Saccharomyces cerevisiae S288C: one gene and its partner. The protein of the gene in region 1 interacts with the protein of each later gene in a biochemical or structural test. Each region holds a gene or a part of one and is shown in the gene's direction. Other genes may lie near its edges.

The links.
Region 2: of the proteins of ECM21 (region 1) and GID10, one has a biochemical effect on the other in vitro, tested with the Saccharomyces cerevisiae proteins (one study listed by BioGRID).

Annotation. Positions count from the first base shown.
Region 1 is NC_001134.8:22,344-32,295, reverse strand, and holds ECM21 (Ecm21p), read left to right. Parts: upstream 1-3,996; coding exon 3,997-7,350; downstream 7,351-9,952. Other genes in the region: YBL100W-A (gag protein), read right to left, coding at 1,045-2,361; YBL100W-C (uncharacterized protein), read right to left, coding at 3,750-3,869; SFT2 (Sft2p), read right to left, coding at 7,551-8,198; RTG3 (Rtg3p), read left to right, coding at 8,760-9,952. UniProt on the Saccharomyces cerevisiae protein: May be involved in cell wall organization and biogenesis.
Region 2 is NC_001139.9:618,512-626,058, reverse strand, and holds GID10 (Gid10p), read left to right. Parts: upstream 1-4,259; coding exon 4,260-5,138; downstream 5,139-7,547. Other genes in the region: ART5 (Art5p), read left to right, coding at 1-735; YGR067C (uncharacterized protein), read left to right, coding at 1,273-3,687; VHT1 (Vht1p), read left to right, coding at 6,201-7,547. UniProt on the Saccharomyces cerevisiae protein: Substrate-recognition component of the GID E3 ligase complex recruiting N termini and catalyzing ubiquitination of proteins targeted for degradation.

The DNA of each region.
Region 1 (9,952 bases):
AGACCACTGCAATGAAGCAGTGTGCGACAATCGTTTAATAAAGTACGATTTAATCGTTCAGCGACACCGTGTGCTCTAGAATCTGCCGTGGTTGTATAGCATGCAGTAATACCTCTGTTCGTAAAGAACTTATGAAGAGTTTTGTTAGTGTACTCGGAGCCACGATCCATCTGGATAACTAGAACGCGAGCATTGAATTGGTTCTTAATAAATGCTAATATCGATGTAAAAACATTGAGTATAGATTCTTCACGACGGTCGTGTAATGGGTAGACCCATTGGAATCTGGTTTTCTCATCTGTAAACGATATAAAGTAAGAAGGTGCACTTTTCGGTAAGTGATGTACAGGACCAAATATATCGGTATGCAAGTACTGAAAAGGCTCATATGATTCTTGGTACTTTAGTCGTGATCCTTTGACATGCCTATGTTTCGTGCTTTTGCCGATTAGACAGTCAGGACATTGATATGTGCTAGCGTTAGACCATTCAATATCCGATTCTTTCAAATATGTAACTGCATTCTTCTTAAGAGACTTCTGAATACTTCGGAAGTTAGCATGTCCAAGCATTCGATGTATTAACGGATATGGATATTTATTTACGCTTTTGCTTTTGTTGACGTTGTTTATTGTTAGCTTTGAAATGTGCGAAGGAATTAGGTATTTTTTAGATAACCAGTAAAAGTCTCCATGTTTGACTATGGGAGCTAGTACTGTACCATCCGATCTTTCTAAAGTGTTTCTGGTAAAGCAGGCAGTAATATTTTGATTAGCCAGCTCACTCAAACTTAATAGATCATAGGCTATGTTTGGTGTGTGCAGTGCTTTTATTGATGTTTTGGTGCCGTTCTGAAAGTTGAAGTGAAGATTACCAATGGCATTTATAGGAATGTCTTGTTTTTGAGCATCGACTATGTTTATTTCAGAATTGGGTGTTGCATGGTGTAAATAATGGGCTGATCTGACAAGCGTTTGCGAAGCTCCTGAATCAATAAGAAGGTGATCAGGTAGTTCGTCATTCGAGTCTATTGTGTGTGTTGGCTTAGATTCTTTCTGTTGCTGGCCTAAGACTAAGTTCGTTGTCATCGCTTAAGTATTGTGATGAAACGGTTGATTCATTAATGTGATCATTGTTCACCCTTGAGAATTTACTAGATGTAGCAATATTGTGAGCTTTTGCTGCTCTTGGTTTTGAACTATTTGTTCTATGATAATTACGAGTTGTAACCTTTGTGTTAGTCGTGTTTGGAGATGTGCGAGAAACATTTTTGTATTCGCTGTGTTGTTTGTATTGGGACGGTTTATTTAGATTCATGATTTTATTTTCGTCATATATTAATTGAATTTCAGCGAATAATTGGGAAAGTTTCATGTTCGTTTTGGTACGATATTGATTACGTAGGTATTTGAAGTCACCGGATAGACCTTTAAGTATTAGTTGACAGGCCAATCTGTCGCTAACATTGATATTGTTTTCTTTTAGCCTTTGAATGATCGTGCTGACCGTAATTTCAAATGTATCAGCAGATGTACTTCCGTCGTACTCAAGGTTGGCAAGAGCTATCCAATCCTTTAATTCTTGATTGTTAGTTTGCATTTTGGACACACTTTTACAAAGGACTGTAAGGATGTCAGCATAATTAATTTCTAAAATTTGTTTTACCCATGTTGGCAATAAATGAAATGGGGCAAATGCTTGGAAGGTATTGTATATATACGCATGTTCTTCATAAGTCATTTGTCTTTTGATTTCACCCTGATCATTTGGAATGATGTCACCGAGATTAGAGTTCTTCAAAAATCTGATGTAAAATTTAACCCATGTATAAAAGTTTTCTTCTGATGTTAAAGTGTGTGGTGGTAAGACATTATTTCTCACCTTTGTCTTAGCTTGAGGTACTTCAGAGTGTTGATCCTGTGAATCGATTGGATCAGGTGAGGAAGTACTCAGCGGTGGGATATACTGTGGCAGCGGATAGTGTGGGTCCGGTTGATAATACGCAGGTGACGTTTGATAATGTGAACACGTCATCATAGATGGTTGTTGGTAATGTGCCCAGTTAGAAGCCATAGCTTTGTTTGGAGTCATCATGCCGTGCTGTTGGTACTGTCCATTCTGTGGAGGTGGTACTGAAGCAGGTTGAGGAGAGACATGATGATGGTTCTCTGGAACAGCTGATGTCCCAGGTGTTGTCTCTTGTTGAGAATTAACCTTAGTGGAATCTCTATCAAATTCCGGTAAATTGGAAGCTGAAACGGCTAACGGATCTTGATTTGATGAGACTTCCTTAGAAGTAACCGAAGCATAGGCGCTACCATGTAGAGAATGTGGATTTTGATGTAATTGTTGGGATTCCATTGTGATTAAGGCTATAATATTAGGTATGTAGATATACTAGAAGTTCTCCTCAAGGATTTAGGAATCCATGAAAGGGAATCTGCAATTCTACACAATTCTATAAATATTATTATCATCATTTTATATGTTAATATTCATTGATCCTATTACATTATCAATCCTTGCGTTTCAGCTTCCACTAATTTAGATGACTATTTCTCATCATTTGTGTCATCTTCTAACACCGTATATGATAATATACTAGTAACGTAAATACTAGTTAGTAGATGATAGTTGATTTTTATTCCAACAATTATATGTGCTTGTATTCAGCTCTTTATTGAGTTTGATCACTGTTTCTCAATCTTCATGTCATTCTCTTCCACCTTACGTGATTGAATACTAGTATCACGAATACTAGTCAGTAGATGATGTTGCTTCTTATTCCAACAGATATTCGAAGGACACAGGATATTACCCTAACAATATTTTAACTACGCGTGACTTTATTGAAGTTGTTTATATATCATTCATACTACACTTTTGATTTGAGCGCTTTTACCTCGCAGTTTCGTTCATCGCATCGGCTGCTAAATGACAATAGGGTGTTTTAACAATGAAGACCAAAAATAAGGCCTCATCCAGAACAAGATAACGTCAAGCGGCGCATCAAGTGTACGCTTTGGTATGCAAGAAAAGAACACCTTAAAAAACCATCGAGGCAGGCTCGCAAAGTTCGGAATTTGTACTGTACATATTCCCATTTCTTAGCCGCCCAGCCGCAAGCAGTCACTCAGCGCTGATCCTAGCTGATTGATGAGTAAACCAAGACCAGTGCCAAGTCATAACTTTTACGGACATATATAACAAAAATTGGTCAACTTTCTTGATATTTTTACTATTAGTCTCTTTTTCTTCTACGTGGTTCTGATATCAAGTTTGTTAGACCAAATTATAAAAAAGATAGAGTGACCGTAACTTTTTCTCGCCCTCCAGAACAAAGCGGTTTCACAATAGAAATACTAACAACCCATCCATGCGGATTTCTCATCTGGGTGCGCTAGCGATATCAAACGTTATATTCCCGAAACAGTAATATTCCCTTGGAATTTTTTAAACGTTCAAATTACATTCAAATCACCAAGTGTTTAATTGTAAATTTATTATTTCGACAGTCCATGCGTCAATATCATTTTCGCAAGCACAGACTCCACGGAACCTTAATTTTACGTACACCATATTGCCGCAAAAAAAAAAAAAGAGCATCTTGATTACATTACCGAGTATCTCTTGTTACATCGCTACATCGTTTACACCACATCAGTTCTTTGCTTTATATACAGTTTTCTACCGATCTTGCGGTATATCACTCACACTCGATTCACAGGATCTGTAGATATCCATTGGTCTTAATTTTTCCAATCTCTGATCTGACTCTTCCAAGGGTTCTCCACTTTCCCGCCTATATTTCTAATTTTGTTAAGAGGGGACAAAAAAAGGGACGAGAAAAAAAAAATAGAACGACTCATTATTATTGCTCGGAAGGTCTGTCTTAGCTCTGAGATAAGCCACGTTTATATTTTTGAAGGTCCATCGGAAAGGTGACTCTTTTAAATAGAGAAGAACAAGCAAGATTTTTCCCTACCCCTATTGGGCATGCCGTTTATAACATCAAGACCGGTGGCGAAAAATTCATCCCACTCTTTATCAGAAACAGATTTAAACCAGTCTAAAGGACAGCCGTTTCAACCCTCTCCCACCAAGAAATTAGGGTCCATGCAACAACGAAGAAGATCCTCCACCATTAGGCACGCGCTATCATCTTTACTTGGTGGCGCTAATGTTCACTCACCTGCCGTCTTGAACAACACAACGAAAGGCGGCAATAATAACGGCAACATCAGAAGCAGCAATACAGACGCCCAACTCCTTGGCAAAAAACAGAACAAACAGCCGCCGCCAAACGCAAGGCGACACAGTACCACTGCCATACAGGGCTCTATCAGCGATAGTGCTACTACGACTCCGAGATCCTCGACTTCCGACACCAACCGTCGCACTTCGGGAAGATTGTCGGTAGACCAAGAGCCCAGAATCTCTGGGGGACGCTATTCACAGATTGAGGAGGATAGCACAGTACTAGATTTTGATGATGACCATAACTCATCAGCTGTAGTGTCAAGCGATTTATCATCAACTTCTCTAACAAGGTTGGCAAACTCGAAAAAGTTTAACGAGCAATTTCTCATAGAATATTTAACCGCTAGAGGTCTCCTGGGCCCAAAAACCGTTCTATCCAATGAGTACTTGAAGATTTCTATTTCTACAAGCGGTGAAAGCGTTTTCTTACCAACGATATCCTCGAATGACGATGAGTACCTGTCCAGACTAAACGGACTCAATGATGGTACGGACGATGCTGAGGCGGATTTTTTTATGGATGGTATAGACCAGCAAGAAGGTAACACTCCATCTCTCGCTACAACGGCAGCGGCTACCGAAAGTGGTGGCAGCATAAATGAAAATAGAGACACACTCCTGAGAGAAAATAATTCAGGAGACCATCCAGGCTCCGGCTCGGAACTTAATACAAGGTCTGTTGAAATCGACAGTTCCATGGTCTCTTACAGCATAGCAGTTATAGTATCCGTTAAAAAACCAACCCGATTTACGGACATGCAATTGGAATTATGTTCAAGGGTTAAAGTGTTTTGGAATACAGGTGTTCCTCCTACAAAGACGTTTAATGAAGAATTTTATAATGCTGCATCAATGAAATGGAATTTGAATGATGAAAACTTCGATTTGTTTGTACCATTAAGCATATCCCCAGATGATCAAATGATTGAAAACAACTCCAACGATCGTCAAATGAGGTTGTTCAAGAATATTCCTACAGAGGAGAGACTGTATTTGGACAAGACTAAAACAAAAGCCAGCCTTTTAAACGCCATAGACGTAAATAAGACTCATCTTTACCAACCTGGAGACTATGTATTCTTAGTACCAGTGGTTTTCTCTAATCATATTCCGGAGACTATCTATTTACCCTCTGCACGTGTTAGTTACAGACTAAGGCTTGCAACAAAGGCAATCAATAGAAAGGGTTTCTATCGTCAAGATTCAAACTCTCCGCAACCTATTGTGTCGCCAGACTCTTCTTCATCACTAAGCTCCACTACATCTTCATTAAAACTTACCGAAACAGAATCCGCTCAGGCCCATAGGAGGATAAGCAACACTTTGTTTAGTAAAGTTAAAAATCATCTACACATGAGCTCACATCAACTGAAAAATGAAGAATCAGGAGAAGAGGACATTTTCGCAGAGTATCCAATAAAAGTTATTAGAACTCCACCGCCCGTTGCCGTATCCACTGCGAATAAACCAATCTATATTAATAGGGTTTGGACAGATTCTTTGTCATACGAGATTTCCTTTGCTCAGAAATACGTTTCACTAAACAGTGAAGTCCCAATCAAGATAAAATTGGCACCGATATGCAAAAACGTTTGTGTTAAACGTATTCATGTCAGTATTACTGAAAGAGTCACATTTGTTAGTAAAGGTTATGAATATGAGTATGATCAAACAGATCCCGTTGCTAAAGACCCTTATAATCCGTATTATTTAGATTTCGCCTCCAAGAGAAGAAAGGAAAGAAGTGTATCATTATTTGAAATCAGAACTAAGGAGAAGGGCACGAGAGCTCTAAGGGAGGAAATTGTTGAAAATTCATTCAATGACAATCTCTTATCTTATAGTCCTTTTGATGACGACAGCGATTCAAAAGGCAATCCGAAAGAAAGGCTCGGTATAACGGAACCAATAATTATTGAAACAAAATTGAAGTTCCCCAAATACGAAGATTTGGATAAAAGAACCGCAAAGATAATACCACCTTATGGTATCGATGCATACACGAGCATCCCCAATCCCGAACATGCCGTAGCCAATGGACCCTCACACCGTCGTCCCAGTGTAATAGGCTTTTTATCCGGTCATAAAGGCTCGAAAAGTCATGAAGAAAATGAAAAACCTGTTTATGATCCAAAATTCCATCAAACAATAATCAAATCCAATTCTGGTTTGCCCGTGAAAACACATACCAGATTAAACACACCGAAAAGAGGCTTGTACTTGGATAGTTTACACTTCAGTAATGTTTACTGTAGACATAAGCTGGAAATTATGCTACGAATCAGTAAACCTGATCCTGAGTGTCCGTCCAAATTAAGACATTATGAGGTTCTAATCGATACGCCCATATTCCTGGTGTCTGAACAGTGCAACAGTGGTAATATGGAGTTACCCACTTATGATATGGCCACAATGGAAGGCAAAGGCAACCAGGTTCCTCTAAGTATGAACAGCGACTTTTTTGGTAACACATGTCCACCTCCGCCAACTTTTGAAGAAGCCATATCCGTTCCAGCTTCTCCCATTGTCTCACCGATGGGATCACCTAATATCATGGCCTCGTATGACCCTGATTTACTATCTATTCAACAATTGAACTTATCAAGAACTACGTCAGTTAGTGGGCCATCCGGATACAGCGATGATGCCGGTGTGCCAAATGTTAATCGGAACAGTATTTCAAATGCCAATGCCATGAACGGCAGTATTTCGAATTCCGCATTTGTTTCGGGCAATAGTGGCCAAGGTGTTGCTAGAGCAAGAGCAACGTCAGTGAATGACAGGTCAAGATTCAATAATCTCGATAAATTATTGAGCACTCCATCGCCCGTCAATAGATCTCACAATTCATCACCAACAAATGGCTTATCACAAGCAAATGGTACTGTGAGGATTCCAAACGCTACCACTGAAAACTCTAAGGACAAACAGAACGAATTTTTCAAAAAGGGTTACACTTTAGCGAATGTAAAAGATGATGAAGAACAAGAAGGAATAGTAAGTTCGAGCTCCGCAGATTCGCTACTCTCTCATGGTAACGAGCCTCCGCGTTATGACGAAATAGTGCCTTTGATGAGTGATGAAGAATGAATTTTTTCGTTTTTTATTTTTTTTTGAATTATTCTACGATAATTATATATATAGAGCCACTGCATGTTTTACTCCCTTTTTGTTGACTACATGCTATTTAATTAGGTTAGGTTATAAATCTCTTTATTATTGTTTCTTATAACATAAACATTATTTTTCTTCTTCAACTAATCAATTCAATATGCACTATGAATGATAATTCAGATGCGCAGAACACCTCTTGCCGAATTGACACCAGCAGAGCTTAACATCCTCAAACCTGTTGCACCGAATGGGAAATATGAAATAGCATAATAAATGACGGCAACTAATTCAAGAAGAGCACATGTAATAGTCAGCACCGTGTTCTTGGAAAAGGCTGCGAAATAAATCGTCATGAAGCATGTGGCGAAAAAGAACATCGAAAAAGGCAGCCTTTCCCTTGCAGTCAAATGTTTTAAGTACGCGAGTGGTCCCATAAGTACCCCAAACGCAAGAACAAATAGTAGGGACCCCATTGTCCATAGTAAACCAAACTTTCTTGGTTTAGCGGCTAGAACGGGGAAAAGGAAAGTACAAAGAGTGAAACAGGCTGTTGCACCCAAAAGAAAACAGACAAAAAGTACCATTCTTTCCGTTCTTGACAATTGGAACCACGACGGCTCCTGGTCTTGCACCAAGTCCTGTCTAGATACAGGCAACGTCTGATATATATCCTGGGCCCTGGTATTGAGAGAATCCGCCCAGCTTGAGAACAATGTCTTCGCAGATTCATTAAAACCCTGCGAGTTCTGCTGTCTTGTTTGATTCCATCGATTCAATGAGTCACGGAGACTATTGACCTGGTCAGAAGGTGGTTCCTCGCTCATATTCTCCACACTTGTTCTTTTTTTTTACCAGCAAAAAAAAAAAACGCAACTGCAGACAATACAGGTAATCTAAGTCCTACTCTAAACTACCGAACGCAATTAGAATGCAAATTTATTCAATCTTCTTCCTATTTCAGTATAGTACAAGTCTTGACCAATACTCCCTCTTCATTACAATCGCCTTTTGCCGGGTCACGATTGCGGGCCGTTCCGCGGGATGTGACTCTTCGCAAGTTACTTTTGAAATAATAAAGCCATGGTGATTAGAAAAGCCTTCTTATGAGCAACAGAAACTAACAATTGTACTACTCGGTCCGGACAGTAGGATCTCCAATATTACTGCAGGTTAGTACATTATTTTTTACTCGCAGTTGCTATTTTGGCTAGAGGCTGCACGGAATCATCAAGGAATTTTTCACAATCCGAATTTCTGTCTTACGTGAGCATATATAAGATAACAAAAACGACATTACTGCATTCACATTACTTAGTTGACAAGTATCCTTTAATAGAATACTCTTATTTTTTGTCAGGCGAACCTACTTCTTAAATAAGTGAAGAATGATGAACAATAACGAAAGTGAGGCTGAGAACCAACGTCTACTGGACGAATTAATGAACCAGACAAAAGTCCTCCAGGAAACTTTAGATTTTTCGTTAGTGACACCCACTCCACACCACAATGATGATTACAAGATACACGGAAGTGCCTACCCAGGTGGTGAGACTCCTGCCCAACAGCATGAAAAACTCTCATACATCAATACGCACAACTCTAACGATAATAATAACTTAATGGGCAGTCAAGCGAGGTCCAATTCACAAACTCCTACAGCTTCGACCATATATGAGGAAGCAGAATCGCAATCGTCTTACCTGGATGATATGTTTAGAACAAGCCAAGGCGGTAGACCTGTCACTCAAAATTCCATATCTTCCATAGGGCAGGGTCCCTTGAGATCATCTTATTCTATGGCTTACGACTCACCTGTGGATAGAGCAATGAATACTCCATTACAGCAACAAGAAGGCTTAAAAGCTGAGTTACCACATGACTTTTTATTTCAGCATGGCACCGATGACACAATGTATAACTTAACTGATGATTTGAGCTCCTCTTTATCTTCTAGCATCAATTCTGATATGATGACACCAAACACATATTCATCATCATTTTCTTATAATCCACAAAGCTTGGGCCCAGCATCCGTATCTTCCACATATTCCCCAAAGGTAAGATCACCATCATCGTCATTTCGTGCAGGAAGTTTCCTTTCATCTTCTTTTAGGCATGGTAGCATAAACACACCCAGAACAAGACACACTTCAATAAGTAGCAATATGACTGAAAATATAGGACCTGGAAGTGTTCCAAAGATTTTAGGCGGGTTAACTTCTGATGAGAAACTGAGGCGCAAAAGAGAGTTTCATAATGCCGTCGAAAGGAGAAGAAGAGAATTAATAAAGCAAAAGATAAAAGAACTCGGCCAGTTGGTTCCACCATCTTTATTGAATTACGATGACCTAGGTAAACAAATCAAACCAAATAAGGGTATCATTTTGGATAGAACGGTCGAATATTTACAATACCTGGCCGAAATTTTAGAAATACAAGCACGAAAAAAGAAGGCGTTATTGGCGAAGATAAAAGAATTGGAAGAGAAGAAAAGTTCTGTCGCAGCATTATCTCCTTTTACCAATAACCACCATGCCAGTTCGGGGCAAAATAATAGCGAGAATAGTGAGGAAAGAAT
Region 2 (7,547 bases), on another chromosome or scaffold:
CCGAGTAGGGCTGTTCCTATTGGTAGCACAACCCCCGTGAAGATTAAGATTTTCCCCTTCGAAAAGAACATTCGTTTGGATAGGATAGAAATGGCGCTAATCCAATATTACGCAATGAAGGACAGCAGCGCACAAATTTATGATGATGAAATAGCCGTCATGAAAATTACTCATCTAGCGGACTTCGGCCCGCTGACGGACAAACTTGACGTCGATTGTCCCTTTACAATTCCAGATAACCTCAAACAAATAACTCAAGACTGCTGTCTGCAAGACAACCTAATCCGTGTCATGCACAAATTGCAGGTACGTATTCTTTTACAACGTCAAGTGGATGGCGAATACAAGAACCTGGAGATCAAGGCGCAATTACCTATGTTATTATTTATTTCGCCGCATCTGCCTATGAAAGGCCGTCTAGTGTTGTTTGATAAACACGATGGCAAGATCCACTTCCGCCCTGGCGAATTAGTACCCCTTTTTTTAACCACTTACCCCGCGCAGGGTCTGACTCCAGGCGTTGAACTGAACTCCACTACAACGGCGCACCTCGCGCTGCCACAACCGCCACCGAATTATCACGAGAGCACCAACGATCATCTCATGCCGGCGCTACAGCCGCTCGGCGCCGATTCGGTGGTACTGACAGTGCCGTCATACGAGCAGGCGCAGGCGCAGGCATCGGCATCGTCTTACGTGACAGGGTCCGTACCCGCTTACTGCGACGATGACTGATCCCCGCTCTCGGCGCCCCGAGTCGGCTACCCCGCGTTGGCAATCCCCTCCGATCGTCCGCGGCAAAATGGTCGTCAATCGGACAAAGGGGGATGATGGGATCTGGTAATAGAAGAAAATATGGACTAAAGGTAGCCGCTAAAGCGATCCAGGCATGTGTTGCCAATGATGTAAGTCAAGCGAAGGAAATGGTTCAGTAATATGATAGACAGACTGCACTTCAAGGGTGCGCCCCCTCCCCCGCGCATATGCTTACAACGCAAAATAATTGACGTTTAATGTGGATACTTATCGTAATCGCTGCATTATAGATTTCGAGTCATGTTCACTTAACCCCACATATTTATATAGAACGCATCTTCAAAGTACTTATAAAGTTTAGTTTTACATTTTTCTGCTTTCTATTTCTTCTTTTTCGGTTCTTCTTCATGCCAGTTGGCATGGCTTAAGAGCTTTACTTGTCGCTTTTATTTAAAACCTTCTCTCGGGAGAAGACAATTGTTGATATACAGTAATTGTATTTGCATTATCACTGCTATGGCTGCGGGTCAAAAAAAATATATATGTTCCTTTTGTTTGAAGCCTTTCTCGAGATCCGAGCACAAGATAAGGCATGAAAGGTCTCATGCGGGCGTGAAGCCTTTCCAGTGCCAAGTCTGTAAACACTCTTTTGTTAGACGCGATCTCTTACAGCGACACATCAGGACTGTCCACAGAACCTTCCTCTTATCCAGTTACGCGTCAATGACAGGCGATAAGGCTGATATCCCTGTATCACTTGGCGTTGGTGACGTTGATTCGACTTCACCCAGAGATATCAAAATGGAAACACTCGTTAATTCGATGATTAAGGTCAACAGCGGCCTTATCAATATTCACTATCATAGTAGTAATGTTGAAAAAATGGATAAGCAGCAACGTTGTGTGATTGGGAAGGAGTCCTCTAGTTTAAAGAAAGGGAAAAGCCGCTTTAAGCAGGTTAAAAGCCGGTTGGAGTCCTCCATCAGTGTAAAAATTTTGCAAGAATATTCATTAGATTTTATTAGCTCAAGAGATATTCTAACTTTCTTCAGAATGGGTGTAAGCCACTTGGTAGAAAATAAGATCTTCCAAAATTTCTTTCCAGACCTGTTCTCATCACTACAAAATGACGAGCTGGTGGAAAGTTTTTGGATTAACAAGCCTTTTGGTCTCATAATAGCTTGTCTGGGTATGTCCATTTCGTTAAATCAAGATTCTCAAAAACTATGGTTTATCTGTTGTACGAATTTGTATGCTAGCTCATCTAAACATGACAATGACTTTGACACTGAGGACATTTTGTCACAGACAGAGCAACATGATGTTTTTGCCTTGATTCTATTTTATTCTCTTCTAGTAATGTTGGAGAATAACATTCCTGTTTCTAATTCCATTAAAAAGTTCGATGTGTTTTCAATGCTTCAAGATATTCTGAAGCCATTCACCGTGGCATCCTCCAGTTACCATTATTTGAATAGTAAGGAAAATGCATGGTTCATATTCGATCTATGGGTCAATATCTTGCGCGATTCAAACAACTTCAACAACGATTCTTTACTAATATTTGGTTGGTTCGTCAATCAAGAGTTTATTTCGTCTAATCCACTTAAGGACTTCATATACAAGGGACCGTCAATGTCCACTACTGACTTAACTTTAAAGCATATCAATATTTTGGCAGATTCCGCGTACGTGTATTTTATAATAAAGAAGACTTATCCGCAAGAGCTGCCATCTGATTTTAGAGTGCATGATTTGCTGGTTTACTTGAATGAATGTTTCGTAATGCAGCAGCCGATCAAACCTGAAACTAGTGCAAACCCCTCTTTATTTGCGAACGTTATGAACGCCAGGATTACGGACTGCAAATCGAAAAGTAACTGGTTATTGTGGGAAACGATTTGGTTCGAATTCATCAACAACTTGACTTTGAGAAATGGGACCACAAGGAACATATGGTTCATTGATAACTTTCCACAGGTATCGACCTCGTGCTTACTTCATCATTCTTCCTCATTTGTTGATGAAACCTTGATCACCACGAACTTATCAATCATATCAATGCTTCTTAATTTGAAGTCTTTCACGCTGGCATCTTTAAACCCAAGGAATATTCAGTTAATTACCGACATTGTCAGCTTCCAACTAAAATTGTTTTCATCGGAGTTAATTGCAAGCTCGGATGTTTCACCATCACAAGTATCTCAATTACTAGTAAACCCCAATGTTCACCTAATGTTATATTTCTGGTTCGATACCATTTATGTACAACGTCAGAGCTACCTTTCATCAACAGAGAAAGAGGAATTTGAGAAGGTTGAAGTGTTTGTGAATGACTACATTATAACACACCAAAAGAACTTGGTGACAGACTTACACTCCATTTTGTTCGATTTTTGGTCAGATTCCTTCATTGCTTACCATATACTACTGCATGCTATTGTATCTTCATTAAGAGATAATATTCTTTACCCATACTTAATCTACTCCCCTCACCTGAATGACCAGACGAAAGCATTGTTGACTGATATCTCTAATTGGTCTTGTTTTGCTCTTCAACAGCCGTTTCGCAAGACTTCAAGAGGTTCTTTATCTGGTGCTTCTGATATGAAATCGTTTTCAGTAGCATCATGTTTGCCACTCTCTCCTAATTTCCTAAAGAGAGATTCAAACTGTAATAAGATTCTCCTGCCCCCATTAGATATAAAAGCCATTGAACCTATCTCAACGAGTAATTACACCTACGTGAACTCGGCCCCTAAGCAACAAGAGAAGGAACAACCATTGTTAAGGGCAACAGGAAACAATATCAATTTAGTCCAAACAATAGTGGTCCCACCCCAGGTAAACATGGAATCACAAGAATTCTCAGCTTCTTCAACTGACAATAAACAAAGTAAAAACATTGAAATTTTTAGCCAAATAAAATAATGGCCAAAGAAATGTTGTTAACAACACTAATAACATTAAAGTTTAATACAACCACAAACGATATACATAAATCTACATAATAATTTTAATACTTCCCACAAGTTTGCCTAAAAGTAAATACCATTTTTTGTGTGCTTATTCCGCTGCGATGGTTACTACTACATGTAAGAGGTGCTCAGTAAAAGGAAGTACAAAACGTCTTTCGCGTTTACCTGTGCTCCATGCGCCTTAATCAATACTCTCAAGGCCTTCTTAACCTTGGCGTTTTCTTAAGTGTTCTGTTCACATTCGATAACAAAATTTAGAATGTCTTTTCACCCCTCTTTTTTCTGGTAATGGTTCGAATGTATGCGGTACCTTTTTTTAACAATAGTCTTCAGGGCACCCTTAAAAATGCTTCGATGAACCATTACAGAAAAAGAAAGTAGGGAAAAATGATGTAATTGTATATGTTGTTTAGTTTAATATTTGATAAAAACATATAAAAAGGGCAATCATGATGGCCATCGACGAGTTATCTTTATCCTTTCGTATTGTGTTATGAGACTTTTCATTTAAAATATACTGTAGGTATGACATCACTGAATATCATGGGAAGAAAGTTTATTCTAGAAAGGGCCAAAAGAAATGACAACATTGAAGAAATATATACTTCGGCCTATGTCTCTCTACCCTCCTCAACTGATACACGTTTGCCTCACTTCAAAGCAAAAGAAGAGGACTGTGATGTTTACGAGGAAGGGACCAATTTAGTGGGTAAGAATGCTAAATATACCTACAGATCCCTTGGTAGACATTTAGATTTTTTGAGGCCAGGATTGAGATTTGGCGGTTCGCAATCGTCAAAGTACACGTATTATACGGTGGAAGTGAAGATTGATACCGTAAACTTGCCACTTTACAAGGATTCGCGTTCTTTGGACCCGCATGTCACAGGTACTTTCACTATTAAAAATTTAACACCAGTCCTAGATAAAGTTGTTACCCTTTTTGAAGGGTATGTCATCAATTATAACCAATTCCCGTTATGTTCACTGCATTGGCCCGCTGAGGAGACGCTCGACCCTTATATGGCTCAGAGAGAAAGTGATTGCTCTCATTGGAAGAGGTTTGGTCATTTTGGTTCTGATAACTGGTCGTTAACGGAAAGAAATTTTGGTCAGTATAATCATGAAAGTGCAGAATTTATGAATCAACGATATATTTATCTTAAATGGAAGGAAAGGTTCCTACTTGATGATGAGGAACAAGAAAATCTGATGTTGGACGATAATCATCATCTGGAAGGCGCGTCATTTGAGGGATTTTACTATGTGTGTTTAGACCAGCTAACAGGTTCAGTGGAAGGCTACTACTATCATCCCGCTTGTGAATTGTTTCAAAAACTCGAACTCGTTCCAACCAACTGCGACGCATTGAACACCTACTCAAGTGGATTTGAAATTGCCTAAAGACCCTTATAGAATTACCAATGTATGTTTGTTTACTCGTCAACCATGTCTCTTTTAAAAGCACATTGTTCTTGATATTACATCAATAAGTAAACTAGTAACCCTTTACATATATCCACGTCATGTATGCCCTTTTTGTAGTTCGAAATAAAAACATTTCTATCATTAGTGCCGGTTAATAATTAGTTGGCGATATCCTTGCAATAAAATAAAAATACTTGAATTGATGATTCGTTTACAGAGGCTCAAGAACACTCAGGAAAACATTATTGCTTTAAATTGACATAGTGTTCTTATGGTAGAAGCTTTCTTAATCACCAGCAAAAAATATTTGGTAAGTAAAACGTTAGCGAGGATATGCTGCAACCATCATTGCTGAACAAGTTATTGGCAACCTACTTATGCGGAGGACTAATGATTACTCAACGTTCTTCTTGAGACGAATGATTACAACCTTACAACCAAGATATAAAAACTTTAGTTTAAGCCCAACTTTATTACAATATCCTTAGACGGCAGCTGGCTCGTGGGATTTTTTCAAGTGTTAGTCCGGTTCTGCAACTACTGCTGAATTCGGCTGCATTGAAAAGCTCAAATTAAAATCATCGTCAATTATTCTCATTACTTCAATCTTTGCTAGTACGCCTTTCACATGGCCTGTCGATCCTATGCTCCTACAACTAAAATGTCCTTTACTAACATGATTGCCTCCATTGCTACAATTGCGTCAGCTAAGATACTGCCGTAGTCTACTAGAAAATCATCATTAGTTCACCCGAAATGGCTCTGAGATTATGAATCACTTTAGGATGATTTACACAGAAAGCGCCGTACCGCCTCCGAGACTCTTTCACCCAACTGTGAAAGGAAAAAAAAATGTGTGAAATGAAAAAAAAAGTCGAAATATGAGATGCAAGGCTAAGTTTGATGATAGCCATTCCCAAAAATCTGCATGACTCTTACGGCTATAACATAACTATATATAAAGGCTCTACACCCACGAGCAATCGCCTTTTCATTTGTTTCAATTTTCAAAAAAGGACCGACACAAATCAATAGATAATGACAATTTCGAATAAATCGTGGAGGAGCTACTTCCCACATTTGAGAAAACTACCCGAAGATGATCAGTACTTATACTCAGACGATACTAACTCCAGTATCATAGCTGAAGAGGAGCTACATCATAGCGTAGATAAGTCCTCGAAGACAGACGTTACGGCAGAAACTACAGCTGTAGAACCTCATCCTCACAATTTAAGGCATGACTTGCCATATGAAGTGAGAGATGAAGCTGGGCGTAAATGGTGGAAATATTTTGATGAATTCGAGTATCGTGTTAATAAGGAATACAAGAAATCACGTAAGTGGTACGAGTTTTTGTATCCTAATCATACTACTCAAACCAAGGCTGAAAGACGGCTTCTTTACAAGCTAGACATTATTATTGCTTTATACTTTTTTATGTTATGTTGGTCCAAGTCAGTGGATTTGAATAACTACACTAACGCATATGTTTCCAATATGAAGGAAGATTTAAACATGAAAGGTAATGATTACGTTTACACTTCTACTATTGCTAATGTTGGTGCCATTGTCTTCCAATTACCATTTATGTATTTGTTACCAAGATTTCCCTCTCATATTATTTTGCCTGTAATGGACTTGGGCTGGACTTGGTTCACATTTGCATGTTATAGGGCAAACTCACTAGCCGAACTAAGGGCTTACAGATTTATTTTAAGTGCCTTTGGCGCTGCTTACTACCCAGTGTCCCAATATATACTAGGTTGTTGGTATGCCCCAGATGAAATTAATTCAAGAGTCTGTTTATTCTTTTGTGGGCAACAATTGGGTTCCGTGACTTCAGGACTTCTGCAAAGTCGCATATTCAAAAGTTTGAACGGCGTCCATGGTCTAGCAGGCTGGAGATGGATGTTTCTGATCGATGCCATTGCAATTTCTCTTCCCACGGCTATTATTGGTTTTTTTGTTATTCCCGGTGTACCATCTAAGTGTTACTCTTTATTTCTGACTGACGAAGAAATACGAATTGCAAGGGCCAGAAATAAGAGGAACCAAATCAAAGATGGTGTTGATAAAAGTAAGCTAGCCCCATTATGGAGCAGAAAACTTTGGAAGAAAGTATTTTGTACTCCAGCATTCTGGGTACTTGTTGTTTTTGATACATGTTCGTGGAATAACATGACTGCGTATAGTGGTTCATATACTTTGTGGTTAAAGTCTAATACAAAGTACTCCATTGCCCAAGTGAACAACCTGAGTGTTATACCCGCATGTTTAGGATTTGCGTATGTGATTTTTTGTGCCTTTGGTGCCGATTTATTTAGATGTAAGTGGATATTCATGGTTTTTGCTGCTATAATGAATACCGTTTCTTGTGCCTTA